Linked DNA regions of Callithrix jacchus. The protein of the gene in region 7 purifies or fractionates together with the protein of the main gene of each other region. This does not show direct contact. Links are inferred from orthologs where the notes say so. Each region holds a gene or a part of one and is shown on either strand. Other genes may lie near its edges.

Region 1 (2,456 bases), on a different chromosome or scaffold from region 7:
AAGAAAATGCTGAACCAGATCTGGATGACAATGAGGATGAGGAGGAACCTACAGTAGAAATTGAACCCGAGCCAGAGCCTCAGCCCGTGACGCCAGCCCCACCACCTGCCAAGAAGCGGAGAGGACGACCCCCTGGCAGAACCAACCAGCCCAAACAGAACCAGCGTAAGTTGTTCATCTCTGCTCTGGAGGCTGGCGTCTTCTAGCATGTGGGGGAGCCAGATGGGTCCTTGTGCTTTGGGGAGGTGGGAACTAAGCCATGAGAACAAGTTAAGGGCATGTTGAGAACAAACTCTCAGGAAATGGTTTTTTAGGAGTATTTACTGAGGAACATCTGAGGAAGTCTTTAGAGGCCTGTTACATTTCAAGGAGAAAAAGTCCAGATAGAAGGATACTTGTGTTCTACAAGATGGGTACTGCTAATGTGGGCGGGTTTTGAAAAACAAGCAGTCACAGTCAGCTGGGAGAATGGATGCAGTAAAGAATATAGAAGAGCCAAATTGTAAATGGTGGAGAGGGAAAGCAGTTTCTGTGCTGAGATTGCCCCTTTTAAAATTCACAGTAGAGCACAGTGGCTCACACCTGTAATCCGAGCACTTTGTTGGGGCCAAGGTGGGAAGATCACCTGAGGTCAGGAGTTCCATACAAGCCTGGCCAACAAGGTGAAACCCCATCTCTGCTAAAAATACAAAAATTAGTCAGGTGTAGTGGTGGGCGCCTGTAATCCTAGCTACTCGGGAGGCTGAGGCAAGAGAAATCGCTTGAATCCAGGAGGCGGAGGTTGCAGTGAGCTGAGTTGGCAACAGAGTGACTCCATCTCAAAAAAAAAAAGGTCCTTTGGAGTCAAGTGCTGGCCTCCTGGATTATGAGAGGACAGAGGTGGTGATCCCTCCACCTCATACACAGCAGGCACTGGAGACGCAGGTCTCTACTCCTCTACTTGTGTGTTTCTCTGCATCTCCTGAGAGCTGACAGGGTTTTTTTTTTTTTAAACAAATGTAGGTTTAATCTATTTTTTAAGATACTCTCCCTGAGTCCCATATGTCAGTGCCTGGTCACAGAAAAGGAGGTTAACAGCAGTTCCTGGAACCAAGCATCTCATTTCACCTCTATACAGTGGAGTGAACAAACTGGTGGAAGGGCCCTCGTTGTGGAGAGCTGCCAGATAAAAAATGTCACCTTGTGGCTGGGCAAGGTGGCTTACACCTGTAATCTCCGCAGTTTGGGAGGCCAAGGTGGGCAGATCATGAGGTCAAGAGATCGAGACCATCCTGGCCAACATGGTGAAACCCCATCTCTACTACAAATACAAAATTTAGCCAGGCATGATGGCATGGTGCCTGTAGTCTCAGCTACTCAGGAGGCTGAGACAGGAGAATTGCTTGAACCCAGGAGGCAGAGGTTGCAGTGAGCCGAGATCATGCCACTACACTACAGCCTGGGCAACAGAGCAAGACTGTCTCAAAAAAAAAAAAAGTCACCTTGCTGTAGGAGGGGCCTCCCACATTATACACTCTAGTAGTCTTAGGTTCACCCTGCACTTTTTACTTGCCCCTCTCACTATTGTAAAGCCTGAATTTATGACATAAAGGAATACTAAGTAAGGATTTTATCTTTTTATTTATTTTATTTTTTGTAAAGATCGGGTTTCACCATGTTGGCCAGGGTGGTCTCAAACTCCTGACCTCAGGTGATCTGCCCATCTCAGCCTCCCAGAATGCTGGCATTATAGGCAGGATGCACCATACCTGGCTCTGTAAGGACTTTAATGTGTGATTTGAGGGGCATATGAAGATGAAGGTCAGCATTTTGTTCCTTTTTTTTTTTGAGACGGAGTTTCGCTCTTGTTACCCAGGCTGGAGTGCAATGGCGCGATCTCGGCTCACCGCAACCTCCGCCTCCTGGGTTCAGGCAATTCTCCTGCCTCAGCCTCCCGTGTAGCTGGGATTACAGGCGCATGCCACCATGCCCAGCTAATTTTTTGTATTTTTTTTAGTAGAGATGGGGTTTCACCATGTTGACCAGGATGGTCTCGATCTCTTGACCTTGTGATCCACCCGCCTCGGCCTCCCAAAGAGCTAGGATTACAGGCTTGAGCCACCGCGCCCAGCCAGCATTTTGTTCCTTGATAGTTTCTAGAGTATTGGGGGTTTATTTTATGTATGACCATGTTTGAGATCTTTAAGGCTTTTTTTTTTTTTTTTTTTTTTTTTGAGAAGGAGTCTTGCTCTGTTGCCCAGGCTAGAGTGCAATGGCACTATCTCAGCTCACTGCAACCTCTACCTCCTGGGTTCAAGCTATTCTCCTGCCTCAGCCTCCCAAGAAGCTAGGATTACAGGTTCCTGCCACTATGCTCAGATAATTTTTGTATTTTTAGTAGAGACGGGGTTTCACCATGTTGGTCTTGACCTCAGGTGATCTGCCTGCCTCAGTCTTTCAAAGTGCTGGGATTACAG
Region 2 (3,500 bases), on a different chromosome or scaffold from region 7:
AAATCTATTTTATTAAGTGTGAGAATTGCAACTCCTGCTTTTTATTTATTTATTTTTGCTCTCCATTTGGTTGGTGAGCTTTTTTCCATCCCCTTGTTTTGAGTCTTTGTATATCTTTAGATATATCGTTAGATTTTGTGGATAATGTATATTTTGTGTGTTTAAAATGGAGAGCCCTATTGAGTTTATTTGTTCTGGATCTTAGTTCCAGTCCCGGATATCGTTATCAATTTTCTGTCTCGTTGAATCTAAATCTCATTATGGGTCTTATGTATCTGGGTGTTAAGATCTCTTATTATTACATTAATCCTTTTATCCTTGTATCCTTGTAGCTTTGAAATCTATTTTGTCAAATGTAAAAATTGCAACTCCTGCTTATTTATTTATTTTTGCTCTCCATTTGGTTGGTACGTTTTTTTCTTTCCAACCCTTTATTTTGAGTCTATGTATATCTTTGGATATACCGTTAGATTTTGTCTGTATCTTTTGATTGGGAGATTTGGTTGATTTAAATTTAGGGTTGCTGCCGTTTGATATTAACTGGCTATTTTGTCCTTTTGTTGATAAAAATTCTTCTTTATGTTAATGCTCTTTACTTTTTGGTGTATTTTTAGAAAGGGTCATACTGGTTGTTCCTTTCTGTGTATAGTGCTTCTTTTAGAAGTTCTTGTAAAGCAGGCCTGGTGGTAATAAAATCTCTGAGTACTTGCTTGTTCCTAAAAAATTTTATTTTTCCTTCAAATGTAAAGCTTAAATTGGCTGGATATGAAATTCTGGGCTGAAAGTTCTGTTGATTAAGTATATTGAATATTGGACCCCACTGTCTTCTAGCTTGTAGGGTTTCTGTTGAGAGATCTGCTGTAAGCCTAATAGGCTTACCTTTATGGGTAACTTGATCTTTCTCTCTGGCTGCCCTTAATATTTTCTCCTTCGTTTCGATCTTGGTGAATCTAACAATTATGTGCCTTGGGGTTGGTCTTCTTGAGGAATATCTTTGTGGTGTTCTCTGTATTGCCTGGGGTTGAACAGTGTCCTGCTTTGCTAAATTAGGAAAATTTTCCTGGATAATGTCCTGGAGAGTATTTTCCAGCTTGAATTCATTCTCTCCGTCACGTTCAGGTATACCAATCAAGCGTATATTAGGTCTTTTCACATAGTCCCATATTGCTTGGAGACTTTGCTCATTCCTTTTTATCCTTTTTTCTCTATTCTTGTCTTGTTGTGTTGTTTCATTAAGTTGATCTTCGACCTCTGATACCCTTTCTTCTGCTTGATCCATTCGGCTGTTTAAGCTTATACATGTTTCACTAAGTTCTCGTGTTGTATTTTTCAACTCCATAAGTTCATTTGTATTCCTCTCTATATTGTCTATTCTTTTCAACATTTCATCTAACCTTTTTTCCAAGTTCTTAGTTTCTTTACATTGGGTTAGAACAAGTTCCTTTAACTCCCAGAAGTTTCTTATCATCCACCTTTTAAAGCCTACTTCAGATAATGGAACACAGTCCTTTTCCATCAGGGCTTGTTCCGTTACTGATGAGTCCTTTTCCATCAGGGCTTGTTCTGCTGCTGATGAGTCCTTTTCCATCAGGGCTTGTTCTGTTGCTGATGGGTTCTGATTTTGAGTATACTCGGCCTTCTTAGGCTGTTTTTTTCCCTTCATTGTAGATGAACCGCCTTTCTAATTAGTTTTCTGAGTCGACGTCCGACTTATTGATTCCCAGTGCTGGGATCCGAGCAACCCACTGTGGCAGCCTAAATAGCAGCGGTGAGACTGATGGTGCTCTTCTGCCCGGGAATCTCTGGTCTGGCTTCCCTCTTGAGTCCGCAACAAGCGGCTCTGAGTTCCCGGAGCTCCAAACTCCGGTCAGTAGGGGAAGCAGTCCCGTTGGCTCTGCATGAAGAGCTGCTGCGCCGAGACGCCGGCAAAACCGCTGCGGCGGCCACAAGAGTCGTGCTGGCGACCCGTGGGGCTCCTCCACTGGGAATCGGCTGATCGGTGAGTGACGAAAATTCGTCTAAAAGTGTGGCGTCGTCTCGTTCTCTGGGCTTTCACTGGGAGCTACAATCCTGAGCTGTTAGTGGTCGGCCATCTTGGATCGATCTCCTCATTTTTCAAACACACTAGGCACAGCTAACTTCTGAACACACTCAGGCCATGAAGGACAATCCAGTTTCCCTTCCAATCCACCACACTGCCTTTGCTCAGTCCAAAGACCTCTGTAGTTCCTACTGCCCCTGGTTCCATTTTTCCTGCCACTTCTTGCCCCCAGTAAGCTCAGCCCCACCTGCAACTCCTCCAGGCAGACGACAGGCTACCCTGACCTTGTCTCCTCTGCCCAGCATGTTCTCTGCCTCTGTTCAGCTTGAAAAACTTCTTGTGGACCTTGAACACCCCTTGCTCTCTGCGGGCCACCCCTTGGGGCTTCCATTGCACTGTTAAAATTCTGATCCCTCATCATAGTGAGAAGCCTTCAAGGGCAGGGCTTGATAACTGGATCCTCAGCCCTGCACAGTCCAGCCTGGCACCAAGCAAAGGCTTCCAGGACTCCTTTGGTTTTTTTGGTTGAGACAGAGTCTCACTCTGTTGCCCAGGCTGGAGGCAATAGCATGATTTTGGCTCCCGGGTTCAAGCAATTCTCCTGCCTCAGCCTTCTGAGCAGCTGGCATGTGCCACCACACCCAGCTAATTTTTGTATGTTTAGTAAAGACAGGGCTTCACCATCTTGGCCAGGCTGGTCTTAAACTCCTGCCCTCAAGTGATCCGTCCACCTCAGCCTCCCAGAGTGCTGGGATTACAGGTGTGAGCCACTGTGCCAGGACTCACTTTGAATGAATGAATGTGGACCCCAGCACTTGTTCTCCCACCCCAGAGTCTTTGCACAAACTACTCCTCCAGCCTTTTCTGATAAGCAGGCTTCACAGAGCCCTCTGTGACCTCCCAGGCAGGTCCTCCTTCCCTCATCTGGAGTCCCCCAGCCCCTGCCACATTCCTCTCAGGAGTCTGCTGACTCTGGGCTGGGACCACCTGTGCTCTCTGCTGGCAGGCCCTAGTCTGACTCCTCTCCAGATCCCTGACATTGCCCAGCACAGGATAAAAAGCAGGGTTAGTGTGTATGTGGCCTCACCTCCGGGAGGGCAGCCGCCGACGCATGCGGTGACAGTCCAGCACCCACTCCTTACGCACAATGCGGCCTCCGAGGCCTAGGACCTGGCTGTACTTGGGGGTGTTCGCAAAGGCACAGCTGGTGGGGGGCAGAAGTGAGGATGTCAGTTAGGTGTGATCTGAGGGGCAAAGGGGAAAGAGAGACAAGGAGACAGAGAGAGAGATCATGAGATAGAGGTGGGAGAAACAGAAAGAGGTTGGATATCGAGGGAGAGATAAAAAAATCAGAGAGCAAAAGACAAAGCTACAGAGTGCAAGCAGAAAGAGAGTGAGTGAGCCAGAGAGAGAGAGAGAGAAAAAGCATGTAACACAGCGGACACAAAGAGAAGGCACC
Region 3 (3,978 bases), on a different chromosome or scaffold from region 7:
CCGTCAAAAAAAAAAAAAAAAGTTATACCCTTCATGTTTCAATGCCTTCGCACATTTTATTTGTCTACACTAATGGCCCTCTCACTTACCCCCGATGAGCTTCTTCAAAACTAAACACCTCCTTTCGGAGGCCTGCTGTGATCCAAATAGAAAACAAAGTTGAATATTGCTATGATTTTTCAATCAGCAAATGTATGGATGATAATACAATTATTTTACTTTACATAGGAAATCACAGAAGTAAGGAAAGGAGGGAGCACAATCAGCTCTGAACTGCGGGGAGTGGGAATGGAAGAAGGGAGCTGACTTGGGATAAAGACAATATAGGGCTAAAAATGTGGAGAAAAGTCCAGTGAGACACAGATTTGGAGTCACTACATTAGTAGCATTTCAAAGTCAAGAATGGCAAGATTGCCAGGGAAACTACAGAAAAGAGGGCTAAGGGCAGACAGACTTCTTGGAACCACAAGTTGACTATCCCTTATCTGAAATGCCTGGGACCAGCACTGTTTCAGATTTTGAATTTTTTTCAGGTTTTAGAATATTTACGACTGGGCATGGTGGCTCATGCTTGTAATCCCAGAACTTTGGGAGGCCGAGGCAAGCAGATCACGAGGTCAGGAGTTTGAGACCAACCTGGCCAGCATGGTGAAACTGTCTCTGCTAAAAATACAAAAAAATTAGCTGAGCAGCTACCAGGGAGGGTCAGGCAAGAGAACTACTTGAACCCGGCAGGCGGAAGTTGCAGTGAGCCAAGATTGCACCACTGCTCACCAGCCTGGCGACAGAGCAAGACTCCATCTTCAAAAAAAAAAGGAAAGAAAAGGAATATTTGCATATACATAATAAGATATCTTAGGGATGAGACCCAAGTCTAAACACAAAATTCATTTATATTTCTCATACACTTTATACACATACCCTGAAAGTAAGTTTATATAATCGTTTTAACAATTTTGTGCATGAAACAAAGTTTTGACTGCCACCTATTACATGAGATCGGAGGTGGAATTTTCCACTTGCGTCATCATGTTGGCAATCATCCAGATTTTACAGCATTTCTAATTTTCAGATTAGGGATGCTCAACCTATACCAACATTGAAAAGTAAGACAGAAGAAAAGATGAAAGAATGCCATTACAGAAATCAAGAGACTTCCACAGAATGAGCTAGGGGTGAATGCCACTGAGAGTCCAGTAAGATGAGATGTAGGTGAGAGGATTTCCAGAGCAAGGGTAGGTCCAGGCAAGAACTGGGACTTCTTAATGACTAAATGACTAGGGATTAAGAAGTCCAGGCAAGAAATGAAGATTTTTCAAGAAGATTAACTGTAAAGTGAGAAAAGAGATAAGGTGCTAACTAGAGGGAAGTTAAGATTGTTTTGGTTTTGGTTTTGAGAGCTGAAGGACTTGGACATATTTATATGCTAAGGAGGGCTGGCACGGCTGATGCCTAGAATCCCAGCACTTTGGGAGGCTGAGGCAGGTACACCACTTGAGCTCAGGAGTTGAAGACCACCCTGGGCAACATAGCAAAACCCCATCTCTACAAAAAAAAAAAATGAAAAAAAAAATTAGCTGGGTGTGGTGGCATGTGCCTATAGTCCCAGACTCTCAGGAGGATGAGGTGGGAAAATCGCTTGAGCCTGGAAGGTTGAAGCTGCAGTGAGCCATGATCATGCCACAGGGAGACCCTGTCTCATAAATAAATAAATAAATAAATAAAGGCTAAGGAGCCTTTTATGGAAAGAATGAATAGGTTAAGGCCCCTGGTGAGATGGATAAGGACAGGATCCCATGAAGGTTAGATGAGGATGCTACAGGATCAGCTTCAGACCAACCAGAAGAAAAAATGTAATTCCTTGAACCACATATATTTCATAGTATGGACTTCATCTGCTGTGTTTCAATACGGTTAAAATTACACTGCATTTCTAGTAATTCATGTTTGATGATGAGAAAAATACATATCAGGCTATACCTATCTACAATCAGAACTGGGAACTTATCTGAATTGATCCTATAAAGAACTGCCCGCACTCTTCAACGAATACTGAGTAAGGTACCAGCCTCGGTTCTTGCTTTTCCCCCGCTCTTGTAGATGGACCAAGTATCCACTGGGTCCTCAGTCCTGTTAACTGCCACTCTAAACAGGCCATCCCAGAACGCATGCTACCCGAGAATGCTGCACTGTCCCACCTGTAAGCATTGTACTTGTGGATAGCTTGGCTCACGTTCTTCTCAAAGTTTGCGAGTTCTGAAAAAGCAACAAGAGGCTCGGTGAACAAGAACCACGAATAACAAACAAGAAATGTTTTCTGGAAAGGGACGTGGCAGCCTCCAAGAGACAGTGACTACCTGTTTCCTACAAGGGCCAGACCAAAAGCAGTCCAAGCGATGGCCCAGGTGTCCCCAGCAGGACTGACAACTATCCAGGAGCGCCGGAGAAAGATCCCCACGGACTACCCGCTGCTAGGGGTCGACTCCACCCACTGGACTGTAGGGGTGGGAGAGAGGGAAGGGAGGGGAAGGGGTTAAAAGGAAAAAAGAAAGCCAGCAGGGCCCGGCCCGGTGCTAACCCGTGAGCATGTCGGTGATTCCCGCGTTGAGAGTCTCCTGCGGCGCCTTCCGTTTGCTCATAACGGCCTGAACCCGAGAACCCCAGAGTGTTCAGAACCAGGGATTGAAGCCCTCTCCCAGCTTGACGGAGGTACCAGACTTGGGGAGGGGTGCAGGAACAACCCAGCTCCGGCGCGACCTGCGCTACCGGCACAACCTGCGGAACAATGGCTGCCCCTGACAGGGGGCGCGGCGCGCGGCGCCTATGGTGACGTCACGCGTCCTGGGCGGGGAGGGGCGGGGCCGGGCCAGGCGGGTGTGGCGGAGCTAGAGAGGTGCGTCCGCGGCGGAAGACGAGAGGGACCCCGGGGAGTTAGTGGACTCCTGGACTCGTGGATGTGGATGCGGGGCGGGGGAAATAGGCGCCTCAGAATGACAGCTCAGGGGCCTTCCTATGAGAAGACCTGGAGTTTTGACCTAAGAGATTATGTTATATCGAACTCAGCATAGAAAGTCAACACCAGAACAAAAGTATGCCAAATTACAGGGTTTATTGCCGGCGACCACGGAGGACTCACGTCTCTCCAACCCGTGGCCCCGAAAGGAGAGAGACAAGACCTTTTCATACCCGCAAAACCACCTTGGGAGTTGGGGTGGAGATGGGAATGAAAGCTATCAATCACCTCCCAGGCTAAGACGAGGGTGAGGGGCTTCAGAAATTCCGAGGGCCAGTGGATTCAAATCACCTTCTGGGCGGAGAGGAGGGTGAGGGGGTTCCGGACCTTTCGAGGGCCAGGGGACTATTTGACATTCTGATTGTTATTTAAGGGTTCACAGATGCTAAGATTAGCATTCATTTACACATCGTCTGGGTAGGGGTGGGATCCATAGATTTTCAGTTGGTTGGCGCCAGGATGGAATGATCTGGGGGTGCTTACTCTGGGAAACAAAGGCCAGCAATTCTGGCAGATAAGAGAAGGTATGCAGCTTTACCTCTCTTTGCATCCTGCAAATGATCTAGCAATTTACAGAAACCAAGGTTAGCAGTCCTTGAGGAGAATGGAAACATTTTTGTATTTTATAAGATGGCAGCATACAGGTTCCAACTTAAGTTAGCTATATCACAATTACATCTGTTTTCCCAGTGTTTCTCTAGAATCCTTTCCCTAGAAGGGGAAACAGGAGTACGATCTTGATTCTGAAATACTTGCGCTGGTGGTGCGGCTTCCTGCACATACATGTGCTCTGTAATAGCGACCAAATGCATGGCGCGTTTTATATGTGGTCAGAGACGACGATGACTTCACACTTACTGTCAAAACTTTCTCTAAGGATACCGGGCAGTCCACACTGCAGTGCAGCCTCCGACTAGGGCGCTGTCGGAGCCCGGCATGAACCCTGCAGAGAACAGGAAGCCTCC
Region 4 (4,154 bases), on a different chromosome or scaffold from region 7:
AGCCCTCATCATCACCTGCTAAAAATGAGCTAAGAAAAAGCATAGGTCATACTCGAAAACTTCAACAAAACTCACTGCAACTAAATGGGGTCTGATACTTTAAAGAATATTTCCCTTTAAAAACGTTACTATGTGGCAATCTACTTATTGACCTCACAATCTTTATACTAGCGCTTTAAACCCTTCAATTTTTCTCAAAACAACAACAAAAAAGTGGGCTTTGCATTTTATTTCAAAACATGAGATATAAAAGTGAACAAATCTTTTAATAATATCAAACACAGATGTTTCTTAGCCAGCAACCATTTCATAAATAAGAAAGGCTCTTTGGCAAATTATCTGTGTGACTTTGGTCAAGTCATAACCCCCAGTGTTTTGTTATCTCGTCCTACTTTATATTTTACGTTCTAAATGCTTTAATTAGCAGTCAGTTAACAACCATTTTGGATTTAAATTAACCCAAAAGGTAATAAGCCATGAAAACTAAAGATAGTTCATAAGTAAGCACAGGTGGTTGTAGCCAAGTGTTAAATAAATTGGTTTCTATACCCAAAAAGATTGTTCCCGATCCAGCCTGTTGTTTTCACAAATTGAGACTCCTCAGGCACAAGGGAACCAGGTAAGAGAATGGAAAAGGCTCAGTACCTTTTATTACTAACACCGAAGAAAAATACACATTCGAATTCCCAACTGACAGTGCTGTTAGACGTTTCATGCTAGTATATGGCTAGCACATAAAATAATATTCTTTAAACAGATAGATATTGTGAAAACAGAAAATTTAATATCCTTTTCTTCTAACTCAAAATATCGTTTTGGATCCTTTTAAAAAAAAATGTCTGTTCCTTTCTTCTGACAATGTAAGTTGGTGGAGACTGAAACAAAACACTTTGCAAGTGGACATCGCCTTTACAAAACAGTTAATTGTTTTTTCTTCCTCTTGTCTAAAGACCAGCTATTTGGACAAAGTTTTCCTGATGATTATAATTCTACCAAGTTCTGAACAACCATCGAAGAAAAGAAAAACTAAATGTATTTCCATTCTGCCCACAGCATACACTGGCCCATTTGAGACACAAATTGTAAATGAAAGATTGGGCTGAACAACATCCTCCACTTTAAAATATACAAGGCACCAAAACAAACACATCCAAAATCTATTTTTAGAGTGGCATTCACTCTTCCAGTTTTCTCTTTAAAATGAGATTTACTTGACCTATTTTCATGTGTTTTTAGGGCACCAAGACAGTCCACAAAAACAGTATTTGCTAGTCATAAAACAGCAAAGGCACAATCACAAATCCTGTTATTTGTGTGGGATATTTTCTTCATGTGTCCTTACGTGCCATGTCTTAAAAGTCTAAATATAGATTCACTGACTAAAATGTCCTAAGTCTTCCAGATTTATAATTATATACTGCATTGAATGCCAATATTATACGTTCACATCCCATTTGAAAAGTACACACACGGGGTGGGGGTGATGTGCCCAGCACCTGAAATGTCAATCATACAAAGAACAAAGCGTTCCCCATCATCTTTTGGCTTTCTTCTCTCCTCAGTTGTACATTGTTTCAATATTACAAAAATATCACTTAAAATGTTCAAAACTTGAGAAATAAGTGCTCACTAAAACGGCACTTAAATTAAAACGTATACCAAAATGATGAACGAGAAAAGATTCTTGTTGCCAGGATGTGTGTGTAAACTTACAGTCCTGTGGAGAGGACGGTTCCCTCTCCACATTCTTAAAAATAATTTTACATTCTTTAGAAGCCTTTGAAAAATAAATAGCGACAACAATGGAAGACCCGCACTCCTTCAGACTGGATGGAGGGTAGGAAGAGAACTCCCCACCCAACAACCAGAACAAAGCAACAGCCTCGGCTTTTAAGATGTACAGAGGGTCTGGAGGCTCAAGGGACATTCTGAGACCTCTTAATTGTTCCGATGCTTTAACAGCCGTCAAAACAGCTAAGAATATGCAATGCGGGGCTTCACTAGGACAAGGTGCAGGAATGCTCTCTTCGTATTAGGCAAGACCGAGACACTGAGCAGGAGGAGAAAAAGGAGGAAGAGAAAGAGCAGAGAAAGCAGCAGCCAGAGACACTCCGGGAAAAGACAAAATGCAGACTGTACGCCCTGGCTTCGATCTGACCCAAGGCCCAAAGTGTCTGACCCCACACGGGAAACAGGGAGCAGGCTACTGCCAAAAAACCATCGCCGCCCCTACACCTCGAGGCCAGAAGGTCCCCGCGTAGAGGCCTGACACCACGGCCCAGGGGGAGGAGAGGGACCCGCCTGCTACCCGAGGCACCGACGCGGGCTCCGGCGGAAGAGGCTGCGCAGTAATGGCCGCTGCTCCGCCCCTCGCACCCCGACCGAGACCAGCTCAGGCCGTCACCCAGGGCAGGGTCTGCGGCGCCCTCGGGCAGCACAGGGGCTGTCACGGCCGTCTAGCCTGCGACCGCAGCCAAGGCTGGGGTGGCGGAAAAGGCTGAGCTGTCCCATCCCGCCTCTGCGCGGGCAGCCGCGGCCGCGCCAGCCCAAGGGCGTCCATCTACGTACCGGCCCCTGACCCCGCCGCCGCCCCTCTCAGGCCCCGAGCGCAAGGCCGACCCGGAGTACGTCGCGGCTGAAGGTGACACCGCGAGCTATGCTTCCTCTCCCCCAGTGAGGGTCCTGGAGTGGCCGGAGTTCTCCCTGCTCCCCCGACAGGGCCTCGCTCCGACTGCCACCTCTCTGGCCACAGCAGCGGACACCTCGCAGTCTTTTTCTCTCCGGCCTCTGAGCCCGCAGCGGCCGGGGACGCGCGCGGCCCTCACGTGACCACCCGGCGCGTCGCGGGGGCGGGGCCGCGCGGGGCGGAAGCCGCGCCGCGCACCCGCGGGCTCGCTCCGGCGTCTCTTCGTTCCGTCCCGGTTTCGCGCCGCTGCCTGCCTGCACTCTCCTGCCTGTGGGGATCCGCGACTTCGCTGCTTGGATCCTTCTGGCTGCTTTAGAGTGTACTTTGTTTGTATTAGGGGCCAGAGGCTCTGAAAGAATGCAGCTCCAGCAAGCAGATTTGGGGTGGAGGAAGTAAAACGCGTGTAGGAACTGCAGGTGGTGCTGCGCAGAAATCCAGTTTTGCGATCCGGGAGAAGCCCTGGGGTGCCTAGCCGAGTTTCGGCTTGAAGATCCCCTGGCAAAAGAACTGCTTTTCCCTTTCAAGAAATAAAAAAGGGTGGTGGGGGGCGGACCGAGGGGGTAGAGTATTCTAGGGCTTTCTAATTTATTCACCTTTTTAATGGTTGAGCAATTTAATCGGGAAAAGCATGGATATTACTTTCCCTTTGAACCCCTCCTTTTTTTAAAAAAAAAAAACAGAATAGTGCTTGAAAAACTGGAGAAAGAAATTAATCTGCATGAGAATCTAAAATTAAAGAGGTTATTTTGATCGCAAGCCTGTGGTTTAAAACATCAGAACTCTAGCAGTATTCACCATTTTCGCATGTACATTTCCTTTTTCAGAACTGATTAAATTTTCCTAATTTGTAGGAAAATGAAGAGGGTGGAAGAGCAGGCCTTTTATCTTTAAAAGCGTATGTATTTCAAAATTTTATGACAGTGTCTTATTTGCAATAGTGTTGCGTTTTGGGATTTCATTAAATGTTTCATTCAGGATGGGAAGTTTTCAGCGACCTTATATGTATAGAAATTTATATGTTTTCTGTTATTCCTCTGAATCAGTTTATTTCAGGGTTCTCATTCTCATATCTCAATATGTAAACCAGTCTCTTGAAAGGTGCCATCTAGTTCAGTGATGCTTGCTCATGTATGCAAAACTGCTTTTCTTACAAGTTCTGTACATATAGAAATATTGAAGTGTATGTCCTTTAAGCTTAGTTTTCTATCTTCATCTTCTTATTAGCCACTCAGTTTTATCCCTCTATCCTACACAGCCCATGAACACAGAATAGCTAAAATTTGATAATGTACCCAAAGATTCCAACTTGAAGAAATAATGCTATTATTAATTAGCTATGTGCCAGGTGTTGTGCTTTATTTATATATACCCATTTAATTCTCCTAATAAACTATGAGGTAGGCACTATTGTTATTCTCATTTTACAGAAAGAAGCACACAGCTGAGATTTGAATCCAGGCACAGACAG
Region 5 (3,522 bases), on a different chromosome or scaffold from region 7:
GCAATTACCCCAGGAGACTGAACAGCAGGGTCCAAGCCTTCCAGGGATTTGCCTCACTATGAGCCCCTGATGACTGCCTTGCCTCCTCAGTATGTGAGGGCTTCATCTCTTTAGAGAAATCCAAGCCACAGCCTTTGAATGTAACCAGTTCTACTAATAAACCGCTCTGAAGGTGCTTTTTGTTGTTTTTCTTTCGTGGGGTGGGCAGGAAGATATGAACAAAGCCCTTTCATCCTTACTTCTGAGGCTGGGACTTTTGCCCAAAGTTCTCCTGGAACATCCTTTCTGCTTCTGCCTAAATAGTTTTCATTTCACACAGAATAAATTGTCTCCCAGAAACACTGAGAAACAGCCATAATCTTAAATTGCTATGGTTTGTCCCTTCTCTATAACAGTAGAGCCTATTTATATTGCATACCCTTCCCACCCCCACTGTCTCGGGAAGGTGTACAAAGTCACTAATTCTACAACCCTCTTGCAGAATGAATACAAACGCTCCATTTAAAAAAGAAACAATCCTTTAATAAAATTAGTCCATCTAAAACTCCCCAATGCCTCAGGTTCTAGTGTTGGAAGGGTTAGCTGCAAAATTCCAGTTCGAAAGCCAACAGAGGCTCAGTCCAGACAGGGATTAACCGACTTGTGCTGGTATCTAGGTGCTTGGATTGCCGAGTCGAGTTTGCTGGAAGGGACATGGGGCAGCGTGGGGAGGCCCGACAGGCCTGGCTGCCAGTTGGCTTCCGCGAAAACGACTCTCGCTGTCCACATAGCCAGCCGTGAAGCCAAACTGCAGGCCTCCACCCTCCCCCAAATGTCCTCCTAGGAGGCAGTCACTCGGGAGGAAGATGTGCCTGTTACCAGGTGTTTCGTCCCGGCCCCAGCGCAGACCTATGAATGAAGATGGAGAGCTGACGTGAAAGGCCTGAGTCCTGGCCGCAGAGGGGGCGCCAGACGGATATCAGCGAGCCCATCTCTCCCACCAAAGCCTCCAGGCCAGCGGCCACGTCTCAAAGTCCTGGGCTAAGCACCACGACGGGGGAGGACCAGACGCCCCGGCTGCAGCTGCCGAGGGACGGACTCACCTTCAGGGCCGCCGGCCTCTGGGCCTGGGCTGCCCACCTCGGCCCTGCGTCAGAGCGGAAGGCCAAGTCTTCCAGAAGGTGCTGCGGCCTCCCCGCAGCCCCTCGGCGACTCAGGATCGGGCGGCTGAGTCACGAGCGCCGAGGCGGGCAGGTGCGGCGTCGCCGGTCTCCCCCCGGCAGGCTCGGGTCCTCCGCGCCACGGCGGTCCCCGCAGAGCGCCCTAGCCGTTTCCGGACCGCTCGAGCCCTGCCGGAGAGCGGCCGGCGGACGTGGCAGGGCCCGAGGCCGACGCGGCAGGGGGCGCGGGCCACGAGTGGGGGCGGACGGGGACTCCAGGACGGGCGGTGGGCGAGGGGAGGGGCAGGGAGGCGGGAGCCGCGGCCCGCTTGCTCCGCAGTCTGAAGTGGCTCAGCTCTTTCCGTGAGGGCGGTGGTGGCCCTTAAAAGGGCCTTTGTGGTGGCATGGGGAGGCCTGGCGGCCGGCCGCGACGCGGGCCCTCTTAGTACTCCTGGGAGGCCTGGGTGGCCTTCTTGCCGCCTGAGGGCGCCTTCGGCCCCACGGTGGCGCTGGTCTTCTTGGGCAGCAGCACGGCCTGGATGTTGGGCAGAACGCCTCCCTGGGCGATAGTTACGCCGCCCAGCAGTTTGTTGAGCTCCTCGTCGTTGCGAATGGCCAGCTGCAGGTGGCGGGGGATGATCCGCGTCTTCTTGTTGTCGCGGGCCGCATTGCCCGCCAGCTCCAGGATCTCAGCGGTGAGGTACTCCAGCACTGCCGCCAGGTACACTGGAGCGCCGGCGCCAACGCGCTCGGCGTAGTGGCCCTTCCGCAGCAGCCGGTGTACGCGGCCCACGGGGAACTGGAGGCCGGCGCGCGACGAGCGCGACTTGGCTTTGGCGCGGGCCTTGCCGCCAGTCTTGCCGCGGCCCGACATGCTAGCGAGGTAGACCGGCGAAGCTCAACGGCTCAGAGACACCAGGACAAACACTCTCCGCAGTCCAACTGCTGTCGCGCGCGCGCGCCGAGAGGCCGTTTTTATAGGCCCCCAGGACACACCTCCGCACCCTCCTGATTGGCCCTTTTCTCCAGTACCCTCCTCCGATTGGTTGCGATTAACCCTTGGGTGTCGCGCCTCTGCTGAGGTAGCGCGCCCGTCGATTGGTTAAATTTGAAAACCTTTTGCCCGGGGAGAAAAGGCGAAAAGGAGGGGTAGCGGGCAGACGGCCAACCACCCGCGAACGTAGCCAATCATTGTAAAGCGCGCGAGATTTAAACGGTACAGTCGGAAACCAGAAGCTGAAGACAGAAGGGGTGGAGTCTGAGGCCACCTAGAAAACTTCTGGGAAATTGTGCTGGAATAGGAATTTTAAAGGACAGGGGTCAATACTACAGCTACCGCTGCCTCCCTTTCCAGGCCAGGTCACTCTCTATACCCTTCTCCTACCTGGCAAAGGGAGAAAGGGAAATTAGACCCTTAACGTTCTTTTCTTTCTTTCTTTTTTTTTAAATAGACCGGGTCTCGCTCTGTCACCCAGGCGGGAGGGCAGTGGTGTGATCTCGGCTCACTGCAGCCTCGAACTCCTGGGCTCAAGGGATCTTCCCTGGTCAACCTCCCTAGTAGCTGGTACTCCAATCGCGCCCCACCATACTTGGCTAATTATTTTATTTTTGTAGAGACAGAGTCTCGTTTTGTTGCCCAGGCTGTCTTGAATTGGGGCTTAAGCAATCCTCTTGCCTCTGCCTGCTAGTGTTGGGATTACAGGTGTGAGCCACCACACCCAGTGACTCTGAAAGTGTGATCCCATTCCACGAAACAGGGTAACTTTAATCTTTTGGCCCTCCTGAAGTATCAGGAGTTCTTTTATTTTGTTTTTGAGACAGAGTCTGGCTCTGTTGCCCAGGCTGGAGTCAGTGGCACATCTTGGCTCACTGTAACATCTGCCTCCCAGGTTCAAGCAATTCTCCTGCCTCAGCCTCCAGAGTAGTTGGGACTGCAGGCACACACCCCCACATTGGGCTAATTTTTGTATTTTTCGTAGAGACAGGGTTTCACCATATTGGCCAGGCTGGTCTCAAACTCCTGACGTCGTGATCCATCTGCCTCAGCCTCCCAAAGTGCTGGGATTACAGGCGTGAGCCACCATGCCTAGCCAGGATTTCAATATTTATTCAACATGTTCTGTTTGGTCTCAGTTCTGTTCATTTCTTGCTAGAAGAAAGGAGAGAGGAGGCCACTATTTGAACCCTCCTCCATGGCTAATTAATAGGAAGAGCACTGAAGTGGAGTCAACCTCAGATCTGTTTCTGGCTCTGCTGCTTACTGCTATCAGAACCACCGTATCAGATTATGCAAGGGAGAGAGATAGGCATCCTGTTGGTGGAAGTACTCTCACCAACCCTCTCAATCTACCCAAAAATGCCCATATAGGAAATATACCTACAG
Region 6 (4,118 bases), on a different chromosome or scaffold from region 7:
GCATTATCTCAAATTGCTAACTAAAGTTACCGAAAAAGAAAAAACAAAAGTCGTGTGTGTAAATAAGGGGTATGGGGACCAAACCGGAGAGGGTGTAAAATGACAATCCCGGGAAGCCAGGCGCAAACGCGTCTTGCGTCCAGAGATTCGTAATCCAGGCTTCTTAGAAGAGAGAGGGAGGGATGAGGAGGAGGGGGTTCAGGGTGAGGGCAGGGGGCAGAGGCCGGTGGGGGAGGGGATGAGCCGTCTTAACAAATGTCAGGGTTGGGCGCGGGACCGACGCTGCAGGAAGCGCCCCCGGAGCCCGGCACCCCGCGCTGCCCTGGGGCCCCCAAAGTTGGCTGGCCGGCGATCGGCGACCCACTCCCTGGAAGGAGAGGCGCCCCGGCCTCCCTCGGCCCCTGCACCTCCTTGAGCCCGCACACCCTGGTCTCTGCCCCCCCCCCGGGGGGGCCCCACGAAGGGCCTACACGGAAGCTGGCGAGCGCAGACCCCGCCATACAACCCAAGGCGCCAAAATTCCCTAGAAATATACAAGTCTGCTCCGAGGAGGCCATCCGGCTGCACACAAACCCAGAACCCGGGCCGCAGGGGCATCCCCGCCCCGCTCTGCCCCGCTGCCCCGCGCGGCCCAGGAGAGCCCGCAGCCAGCGTACGGGGCAGCCGAGCCCGCCACAGCACCCAGGGCGCCCGCGGCCCCGCAGGTTGCCAAAGAAAAGGGCTCCTCAGAGCCCCCAAGTTTGCGGTGGGACCAATCTGGGAAGTGTGACCTTCCAGGGGAAGGAGGAAGGAGGGCCGAGAGTCCGCGATCGCCACTAGAAAGCTAAATACACAGCCGCCCGTAAGAGAAAGCCAAGGCGCCTCTCCAAGGCCCCCGGCTCTGCGCGCTCGCCAGTTCTCAAGTCCAACGCCTGGAGGAAACCCACTCTCTAGCCCGCGCGTCGGGCGCAGCACAGTCACTCAGGGCCCGCAGCGGCAGCCAAGGGGTTAATCGGGGAAAGCCCAAGACACCACAGAAGAGGGAAGGAAGAGAAGGAGAGAGAGGGAGAGAGAGCAAAGAAAGAGCCACACAGTCATCTTCCCAGGGTGAAGAAACAACCACCGCCACCAAAAGGGGAGGGGGAACCAGAGCGCAAAAGAAAAGTTCTTCGGATCCCCCCCACAACAAAGCCCTGCTTGGAAAGAGAGGTCTCCCCAACATCACGAGGCAGCAAACTGAAAGCAAGAACGTGGCGAAGTGCAAACAAATCCAGTCCACAAAAGGCAGAAAAGTTTGGAGAGTTTCGGGCCGCCTGGGCCGCGAGCGGGGGAGGGGAGGGAGGGAGGGGAGGAGGCGGGGAGGGGGAGGCGGGGAGGGGGCAGGGCAGGGGCCGCATGCAGGGCCCGGCGGGCGGCGCGGGCGGGCGGGCAGCGGGCGGGGGCCGGGCGCGGAGGCACTTACGGTTCGGGCGGTGGGCGAGAGCGATCCGTTGGGGAGGTAGGGGCTCGTCAGGTCGGGGATCATGATGAAGGGGTAGCCGGGATACGGTGGCCCCTTAAAGAGCCCTCCATCTTGCCTCTTGGCCGCTAACATGGCGGGGCGGCGAGAGGACGGCGGCGGGCGCGCGGAGCGGGAGAGAGCGAGGAGAAACTTTTTAGAAAGTGCCCCGAGGGGCCGGGCGCCCCGGCCGGACCGGCGCGGGGCCGGACCGAGCGGGGCGCGGGGCCCGGGCGCGCGGGGCGGGCGGCCGGCCCGGGGGGCGGCTGCGGGGCGCGCGGGGCGTACTCACCTTCTTCCAAACTTTCTCGGGATTTATCTCGGAAACTTTCGGAGCGAGGCGGAGGCCGTCTTTCCGCCTTCCCGGAGGGGTGGAGGTGGGGAGGGCGAGGGGCAAACGCCACGCAGAGGGAGGAGAACGGGGAGAAAAAGAATCGGCGAGGTCGGGGTGGGGGGGTAGAAAAAACAGGGTTACAAGTTTTTGCAATGGTGGCACCGCACGCACACGCCGCCCGCCGGGCCCCGCCGCCGCCCCTAGCCCCGATTTCTCCCCTTTCAGCAACATTTGCCAAGCCCAGGAAACAGATAAAAAACCCCACCAGCCCGAGGGGCTTTTCCTACCTCGGAATCGGAGGAGCTGTTTTGATTCGTTTCTGATTCATTGACTAGAGACGATTTGACATCAGCTAAATCCCTCTCTGCCGAGGAGTTTTCCGAGCTCTTCTCCTCCTGTTCGCCCTCGTCTTTGAAGGAAATCAGTTCGTCGTTGGCGCCTAGGTCATCCCCTCCACCGCCGTTCAGCTGCGGCATTTTTTTCACCCACCAGCAGCAATTTTGGAAGAAAAATGAAGGAGGAAGAAAACCAAAAAAAAAAAAAAAACACCCCCAAAAAGTTTTGCCCCCCCCAAAAAAAATTGCAAGAAAAAGACGAGTCCAAGGTGAACTTTTTTTTCTGCTTGGGGGTCTTTTTCTCCTGGGGAGGGGAAAAGAGGGAGGAGGGGAGGGGAAGGGGGGGGAGATCTTCTGCACGCGTGAGTTTGGGTTTCTTTTTTCTCTCGTTCCCAAGGATCCGATCAATGTGCGAAAAAATAATAAATAAAAAAGGGGGGTTAAAAAAAAAACACCAACAACAACAAGAAGTCAGATATAAAGAGCAAAGGGGGGGGAAGCCGAAGATACAGGAGGTGCTCGTGCCGCTCGGATTTGAGTGAGTTGAAGTTAGACTGAGAGCTTTTCAGTTCAAAGGCGGCGCTGATTGACAGATAGAAAAAGGGGGATCGAAATCCGGAGGAACGGAGTAGTCTGGGAGCGGAGATTATTGACAGGGCGAGAGGAACACACTGCCTTAATGAGATGCCGGAGGGCGGGGCCTGCCCGGTGACGTGTGCATAAATAAACAGCCCGGGTGGGCGGGGCGGGGGCGGCTAACAATGATCCTTTCGGGCGCCGGGAGAGGGAGGAGGGAAAGGAGGAGGAGGAGAGGGGCGGGGAAGCAGGGGGGAGACGGAGGGAGGAGTGTGCAGGGGGAGCGGCCTGCGCGGAGTGTGTGCGAGCCCTGGATTCTGGGCGAGGGTGCAGGGACTCGCTCCGGGAGGGGGCGGTTTCAGAAAGACAATGCGGGGTGGGAGAGGAGGAGAAGGGGGTGGCGACCAAGTCAGGAATCCGAGCCGAGGAAGGCGGAAGGAAAGCCCACTTGAGGGGCGGGGATGGGGAGAGGCCCAGAAAAAGTGCAGTTTAGTAATATTAGAAATAAGTCTTAAGAGAGGGGAAAAGGAAGGGTAGAATTGTGAGAAAGTGGTGGCTGGGGGCGGGGTTTGGGGGGGATGCTTGGTGGTTAATTCAACAGTAGAATCAGCCACCCTTGGGCGGCATGCGACAGAGGTGGTCAAAAGAAAAAATCAACCCTCCACTTTCAGAGAGCTTGGAGAAGTGAAGGGGCTGGTCAAAGTTCCTGGTCATCTACAATGAAAGAAACTATTAACCCATGAGGCCCCCTCCTCCCTTTTTTGTTTATTAGTAGTGAATCATTTCATGAATTGTTAAGTCCCACTAGGATAAATATGCCAAAATGACTTTTTATCCAAAAAACAAATACTAAATGTCAGAGACATTAAAAGTATCCTTAAGGAAAAAATATAGGATTCTTTTACATGTAGAGTGGTGTTTTAGTGGTTTTTTGTTTTTGTTTTTTTTTTTTTAACTGACGTTGGAGCTGGTAGGATATGAGCTAGAGTCAAAGTCCTTTTTGAAAACTTCGGAGGTGAAAAGTTTGGGCGTTAACACCGCCAGGGAAAAATAAAACTGAAAGTTCACCGGGCCCCTGGGATCAGTTGGGCTGCAGTTTTTTTCGAAGGGGCTCTGAAATGAAATCCCCGAAAGACTGACCAAATAATCAAGATGTAGGTGGCTGTGGCAGGAAATTGCTAACCAAACCAATGCTAGGAGACCTCCGGGAGAAGATGGGAAACCTGGGGCTTGAGGCAGGTATTTGTTGACTTTTAGTTACTAGAGGAGGAGCAGACTGATTTGCTACAAAATGGGGAGTGGGATTATGTTAAAGAGGAAAGGCCCGGCTCCCAAAACACAGTGTTGCTGGGTGATACAGCAAGAAGATTCATTTTTGTAGATGTTCGGTAAGAGG
Region 7 (3,885 bases):
GATCCTGTGCCTGGTGCTTGGTTTTCTGCCCCTTAGGTGGGGCATTCCCATTGAGCAATGCAGTTTGCTGCCTGGCATCTTCTGGGGTTTCACAGTTCTGGGTAGAAACAAGCCCCCCAAAGTCTCTTGGGACCTTGCACTGTGAAGATGAACTGTATCTGTAGTCAGAATGAGACCAGACACAAAGTACACAAATAGAGAAGGCATTTTTAATTGAGTATTACTATTAGCCCTTGGATTAGTATACCGGTGGTAGAGTTTTAATTTGGAAGATAAAAGTGCCCATGAGAAAGTCAACAATTTCAAATACAACTTTTAATACTACGCATTTCAAGAGCTTCCCTGTTCAAGTATTCCTAGAGAAGGAAAGCTCTTTCAGTTTCGAAGCATGAGAAACTGTTAGCGTTCCTTCCTTTGGTCTGCCCACAGCCCTCACCACAGAGGCAAACAAAACAACTAACAAGGGGACAGTAAGTGCAACATAAAAAAGAAAATCTAAATAGTGTGAAATTAGTTTTTATTTTTAACTAAAAATAAATGCTTAACATCTTTCCAAAATCAAAACTAAAGATGAACACGAAAAAAGGGTGGAAACATATTTTTCCTTCCCTGGGGAAACCAGTAAGGCAGACGTTCTAATGGAGCGTGATTTATCTCCACAGGACTAGTCTATGCGAACGGAATCTCTCCAGCCTTTTCTCTATGTCAGTTTTATCTATCTGGCAAGAAAAAACAAAAACAAGCCCTCCCCACAAACACAACACAAAACAAGGGACTTGAAAAGTTAGAGAAAACCTTTTAACGCGTTTCTGTAAAATCCCTTCTGAGGAGGTTTAGTACAGGTACTACCCATCAGCAACTTAGCCGGCCAGGTGAGTTGGTGCAGAAGCGCTTGGGCTGAATTCATACCAGAGTCACCGTGTGTGACTCGGCCACCTCTCCCAATTACCACAGGGAGGTCTTAAAATTGAATTTCAGTTTCAGCAGATACTTCAGATTTACCTGAGCAATGTCATAGACAATGTACCTGAGGGGAATCTTGTTAAGGAGCTAACGGCCACACAGAGAGAATACATGGGCCTTATCTTCCCCGGGCTGGCAGGATGCCCAGTGCCACCCTGAAAGTTACTTTAAGGCTTCTTCATGGGGCTGGGTTGGTGCCCTTCAGGCAGACTGAGGAGAAGAGATCATACTCTGGAAACTGAGGGAAGGCTCATACCCTGTAAGCCAGGCTATGCACAGGGAGAGACCACTAAAAGGAAACAGTCACCATGGGACACATCTACAGAACAGCCTCTAATCCTTGTCTGTCCCGGGTAATCTGACAGCATGTAAGTGACTCTGTAGCTCCAGAACATTCCTTTGTGCTCACACAGCATACTCAAGAAAGGATACTCGTTATATAGTAGACAGGTGTCATTTACACCAGATGAAATCCCAGTCCCAAGAGGAACCTCCACACCGTCCAGAGTAATACTAGCTGAAGGGTCAGGGGTAGTTTTGCCCAAACCTGCAAAACAGAAGGCACAAATGACATTAACTGTGAGAACAGAGGTGGCAAAGGTTCCAGGGAGATGAGCTCTATTTAATGTGAGTCCATTTGCTTTTCTTTTTTTCCTTTTTGAGATGGAGTCTTGCTCTGTTGCCCAGGCAATGGTGCAATCTCAGCTCACTGCAACCTCCGCCTCCAGGGTTCAAGCATTCTTCTGCCTCAGCCTCCTGAGTAGCCGGGATTACAGGCATGTGCCATCACACCCAGCTAATTTTTTGTATTTTAGTAGAGATAGGGTTTCACCATGTTGGCCAGGATGATCTTGAACTTCTGACCTCAGGTGATCTACCCACCTCAGCCTCCCAAGGTAACTTGAGATTACAGGTGTGAGCCACTGCACCCAGCCTCATGTGCTCATTTTAAAGACATATCTTTCTCCTTCAGATATAAAACTAAGGCAATAAATCAAGGTTCCCAGGGCATCAACCTTCACTGAGTTTAATGAGAGCAGCGATACCCTATAGGGTCACATTTCTGCTCAACAGAATTCCAAAGCAGCCACTTCAACCGGGCTGTGGAAGGTTCTAAATCATATGCTGCAAATTCTAGCAATCCAAGATGCTCCAGGCACTACTATGTCACAAGAGGTCCCTCACTGTGGTAGCTGCAAGTCAGGTTAAAGCCCAAACCCATGTACTTGGTTACCGGTGCCCGCTCCTGTGGCACTTGTGATACTAGCTGCAGCCACAGAGAGTGAACTGTGTGTTTTAAATTATTATACTTTTAAGTTCTGGGGTACACATGCAGCTTGTGTAGGACTGTTACATAGGTATACACATGCCATGGTGGAGTGAACTGTTTTTAAAAATGAACTGCTTGCTGTATATCTTGCCCATTTAAAAAAAATAAATAAGTAAAATGAACCTTCAATCATGGTCAGCTGCAGCATATTCCACCACCTAAACAACAACAACACACATACACACACATGCCCCAAAAGATAAAATGAAATCTCCAGCTGTTTGACAGCCAGCCACAAGGCAGCATTCTCAGGACAGCAAGACACCGCTTCTGTACTGTTCAGGGTGCCTGGGGCTGTAGCAGCAGCTTCGGAAACACTTTACCTTTGACACTGTGCTTGCCCTTGGGTAACTTGCTGATGTGTGAAGCGTGCTTCAGTTCATACCTATTTAAGAGTGGACAGTCTCAGAAGAGGCCTTCACACTGGGCTCTCAAAACCAACAGTTTGATTAGAACAAGGTGAGATATGGAGACGAGTTAAAAACCCACAAAACCCAGACCATCTTAACTGCTCAGCTCCCTCTCGAGTTTCTGGAACTCCTCCAGAACCCAAGGCTGCAGTTGTGGCTGAAGTTTGTGCCCAGCGATCACTGCTATGGGGCTGTTTTCAAGGAAAGGCCCTATTTGGAGCAGTGGTCGGCAGCTCTGGGTTTCTGTTCACACTCCACAGTCCCCAAACCCCTGGCCTTTTACATGACCCTGTGCTTTTGGTTATAGTTCACAGGATGTCCAAATGAAGCTGGACTAATCGATCTTTCTCTGTGGAGAATCTAGAAATGGGATTAAGATTCTAGTTCCATTTGGGTTGGTCTAAGAAAACTGAAACATTGGTGAGTGGAGGAGGAAGCCATGGGGGATCGTCCTTTGTGCAACTCAATCTCTCTGCTTCCCAGTCCATGGAGAGAAGACACTGCCGGCTCCGGAGGACTGGTTGCATTCTGTTCTTGCATTTTGTGAGGTATCCTTGTATCTCCCTTGTTCCCTTAACTTGAATTGGATTCTGCTACTTACAAGCAAAGCATCCTGATTGGTGGGCCCAGTAACTGTAGTGGGGAATTTCCACTCTCCCAGCCAAGGGGAGTTCTGCCTAGCCCACTCCATCTGTCCCCATGAAATGCCACCCGTTCCAGAGCCAGGTTTACTCACATGTTTCCAAGGGCAACTTCTCCCAACAGGATTAAGCCTATTGGGTCTCCCTGAGACGTATGGCAGTAGTTAGCACTCTTGGAGACCATGTCAGCGAAATAGATCCCTTTACCAAACATGTAGCCTGTCTGGAAGGTTGGAAAAGGGATAGTTGAGAATCTTCTGATGGAAAATTAGGAACAGCTGTTCTCTGAGTACCAGCTAGAGCCAGGAGCCCAGCTAAGTGCTGCAATCCATCACTTCTAATTCTCACAATGCCCGTGGTAAGGAAATACCAAAGGTTTAGCCCACAAGCCAGGCTGCTCAGATCCTAGCTCTGCCAGGTGCCAAGGAGCAAGAAGTTACATCACTTCTCTGGACTCTACTTGACTCTTTTCTCAAATGGGGAACATAATCTCATGGAGCTGCTGTGAGGATGGAATGAGCTCATCAATGTTACTTAAACT

What was found.
Region 1: the proteins of PARP1 (region 7) and CTCF purify together in Homo sapiens (affinity purification with mass spectrometry; 6 studies listed by BioGRID and IntAct, with this or other methods). This does not show direct contact. The link is inferred for Callithrix jacchus from reciprocal best matches to the Homo sapiens genes PARP1 and CTCF.
Region 2: the proteins of PARP1 (region 7) and XRCC1 purify together in Homo sapiens (affinity purification with western blotting; 9 studies listed by BioGRID and IntAct, with this or other methods). This does not show direct contact. The link is inferred for Callithrix jacchus from reciprocal best matches to the Homo sapiens genes PARP1 and XRCC1.
Region 3: the proteins of PARP1 (region 7) and POLB purify together in Homo sapiens (affinity purification with mass spectrometry; 4 studies listed by BioGRID and IntAct, counting the BioPlex papers as one, with this or other methods). This does not show direct contact. The link is inferred for Callithrix jacchus from reciprocal best matches to the Homo sapiens genes PARP1 and POLB.
Region 4: the proteins of PARP1 (region 7) and RNF146 purify together in Homo sapiens (affinity purification with mass spectrometry; 4 studies listed by BioGRID and IntAct, counting the BioPlex papers as one, with this or other methods). This does not show direct contact. The link is inferred for Callithrix jacchus from reciprocal best matches to the Homo sapiens genes PARP1 and RNF146.
Region 5: the proteins of PARP1 (region 7) and H2AX purify together in Homo sapiens (affinity purification with mass spectrometry; 9 studies listed by BioGRID and IntAct, counting the BioPlex papers as one, with this or other methods). This does not show direct contact. The link is inferred for Callithrix jacchus from reciprocal best matches to the Homo sapiens genes PARP1 and H2AX.
Region 6: the proteins of PARP1 (region 7) and TCF7L2 purify together in Homo sapiens (affinity purification with mass spectrometry; 3 studies listed by BioGRID and IntAct, with this or other methods). This does not show direct contact. The link is inferred for Callithrix jacchus from reciprocal best matches to the Homo sapiens genes PARP1 and TCF7L2.

Annotation. Positions count from the first base shown.
Region 1 is NC_133521.1:25,145,733-25,148,188, forward strand, and holds part of CTCF (transcriptional repressor CTCF), read left to right. Parts: intron 1-3; coding exon 4-165; intron 166-2,456.
Region 2 is NC_133523.1:38,039,787-38,043,286, forward strand, and holds part of XRCC1 (DNA repair protein XRCC1), read right to left. Parts: intron 3,246-3,500; coding exon 3,129-3,245; intron 1-3,128. UniProt on the Homo sapiens protein: Scaffold protein involved in DNA single-strand break repair by mediating the assembly of DNA break repair protein complexes. Negatively regulates ADP-ribosyltransferase activity of PARP1 during base-excision repair in order to prevent excessive PARP1 activity.
Region 3 is NC_133514.1:44,073,577-44,077,554, forward strand, and holds the start of POLB (DNA polymerase beta), read right to left. Parts: upstream 2,801-3,978; 5' UTR 2,640-2,800; coding exon 2,579-2,639; intron 2,258-2,578; exon of another isoform or gene 2,257-2,257; coding exon 2,199-2,256; exon of another isoform or gene 2,171-2,198; coding exon of another isoform or gene 2,070-2,170; intron 1-2,069.
Region 4 is NC_133505.1:133,838,748-133,842,901, reverse strand, and holds the start of RNF146 (E3 ubiquitin-protein ligase RNF146), read right to left. Parts: upstream 2,801-4,154; 5' UTR 2,569-2,800; intron 1-2,568. UniProt on the Homo sapiens protein: E3 ubiquitin-protein ligase that specifically binds poly-ADP-ribosylated (PARsylated) proteins and mediates their ubiquitination and subsequent degradation. May regulate many important biological processes, such as cell survival and DNA damage response.
Region 5 is NC_133511.1:18,753,534-18,757,055, forward strand, and holds H2AX (histone H2AX), read right to left. Parts: upstream 2,090-3,522; 5' UTR 2,014-2,089; coding exon 1,582-2,013; 3' UTR 501-1,581; downstream 1-500. UniProt on the Homo sapiens protein: Variant histone H2A which replaces conventional H2A in a subset of nucleosomes. Nucleosomes wrap and compact DNA into chromatin, limiting DNA accessibility to the cellular machineries which require DNA as a template.
Region 6 is NC_133513.1:105,892,385-105,896,502, reverse strand, and holds the start of TCF7L2 (transcription factor 7-like 2), read right to left. Parts: upstream 2,801-4,118; 5' UTR 2,288-2,800; coding exon 2,099-2,287; intron 1,837-2,098; coding exon 1,770-1,836; intron 1,567-1,769; coding exon 1,442-1,566; intron 1-1,441. UniProt on the Homo sapiens protein: Participates in the Wnt signaling pathway and modulates MYC expression by binding to its promoter in a sequence-specific manner. Acts as a repressor in the absence of CTNNB1, and as activator in its presence.
Region 7 is NC_133520.1:22,886,382-22,890,266, reverse strand, and holds the end of PARP1 (poly [ADP-ribose] polymerase 1), read right to left. Parts: intron 3,568-3,885; coding exon 3,440-3,567; intron 2,679-3,439; coding exon 2,617-2,678; intron 1,511-2,616; coding exon 1,396-1,510; intron 1,028-1,395; coding exon 946-1,027; 3' UTR 501-945; downstream 1-500. UniProt on the Homo sapiens protein: Poly-ADP-ribosyltransferase that mediates poly-ADP-ribosylation of proteins and plays a key role in DNA repair.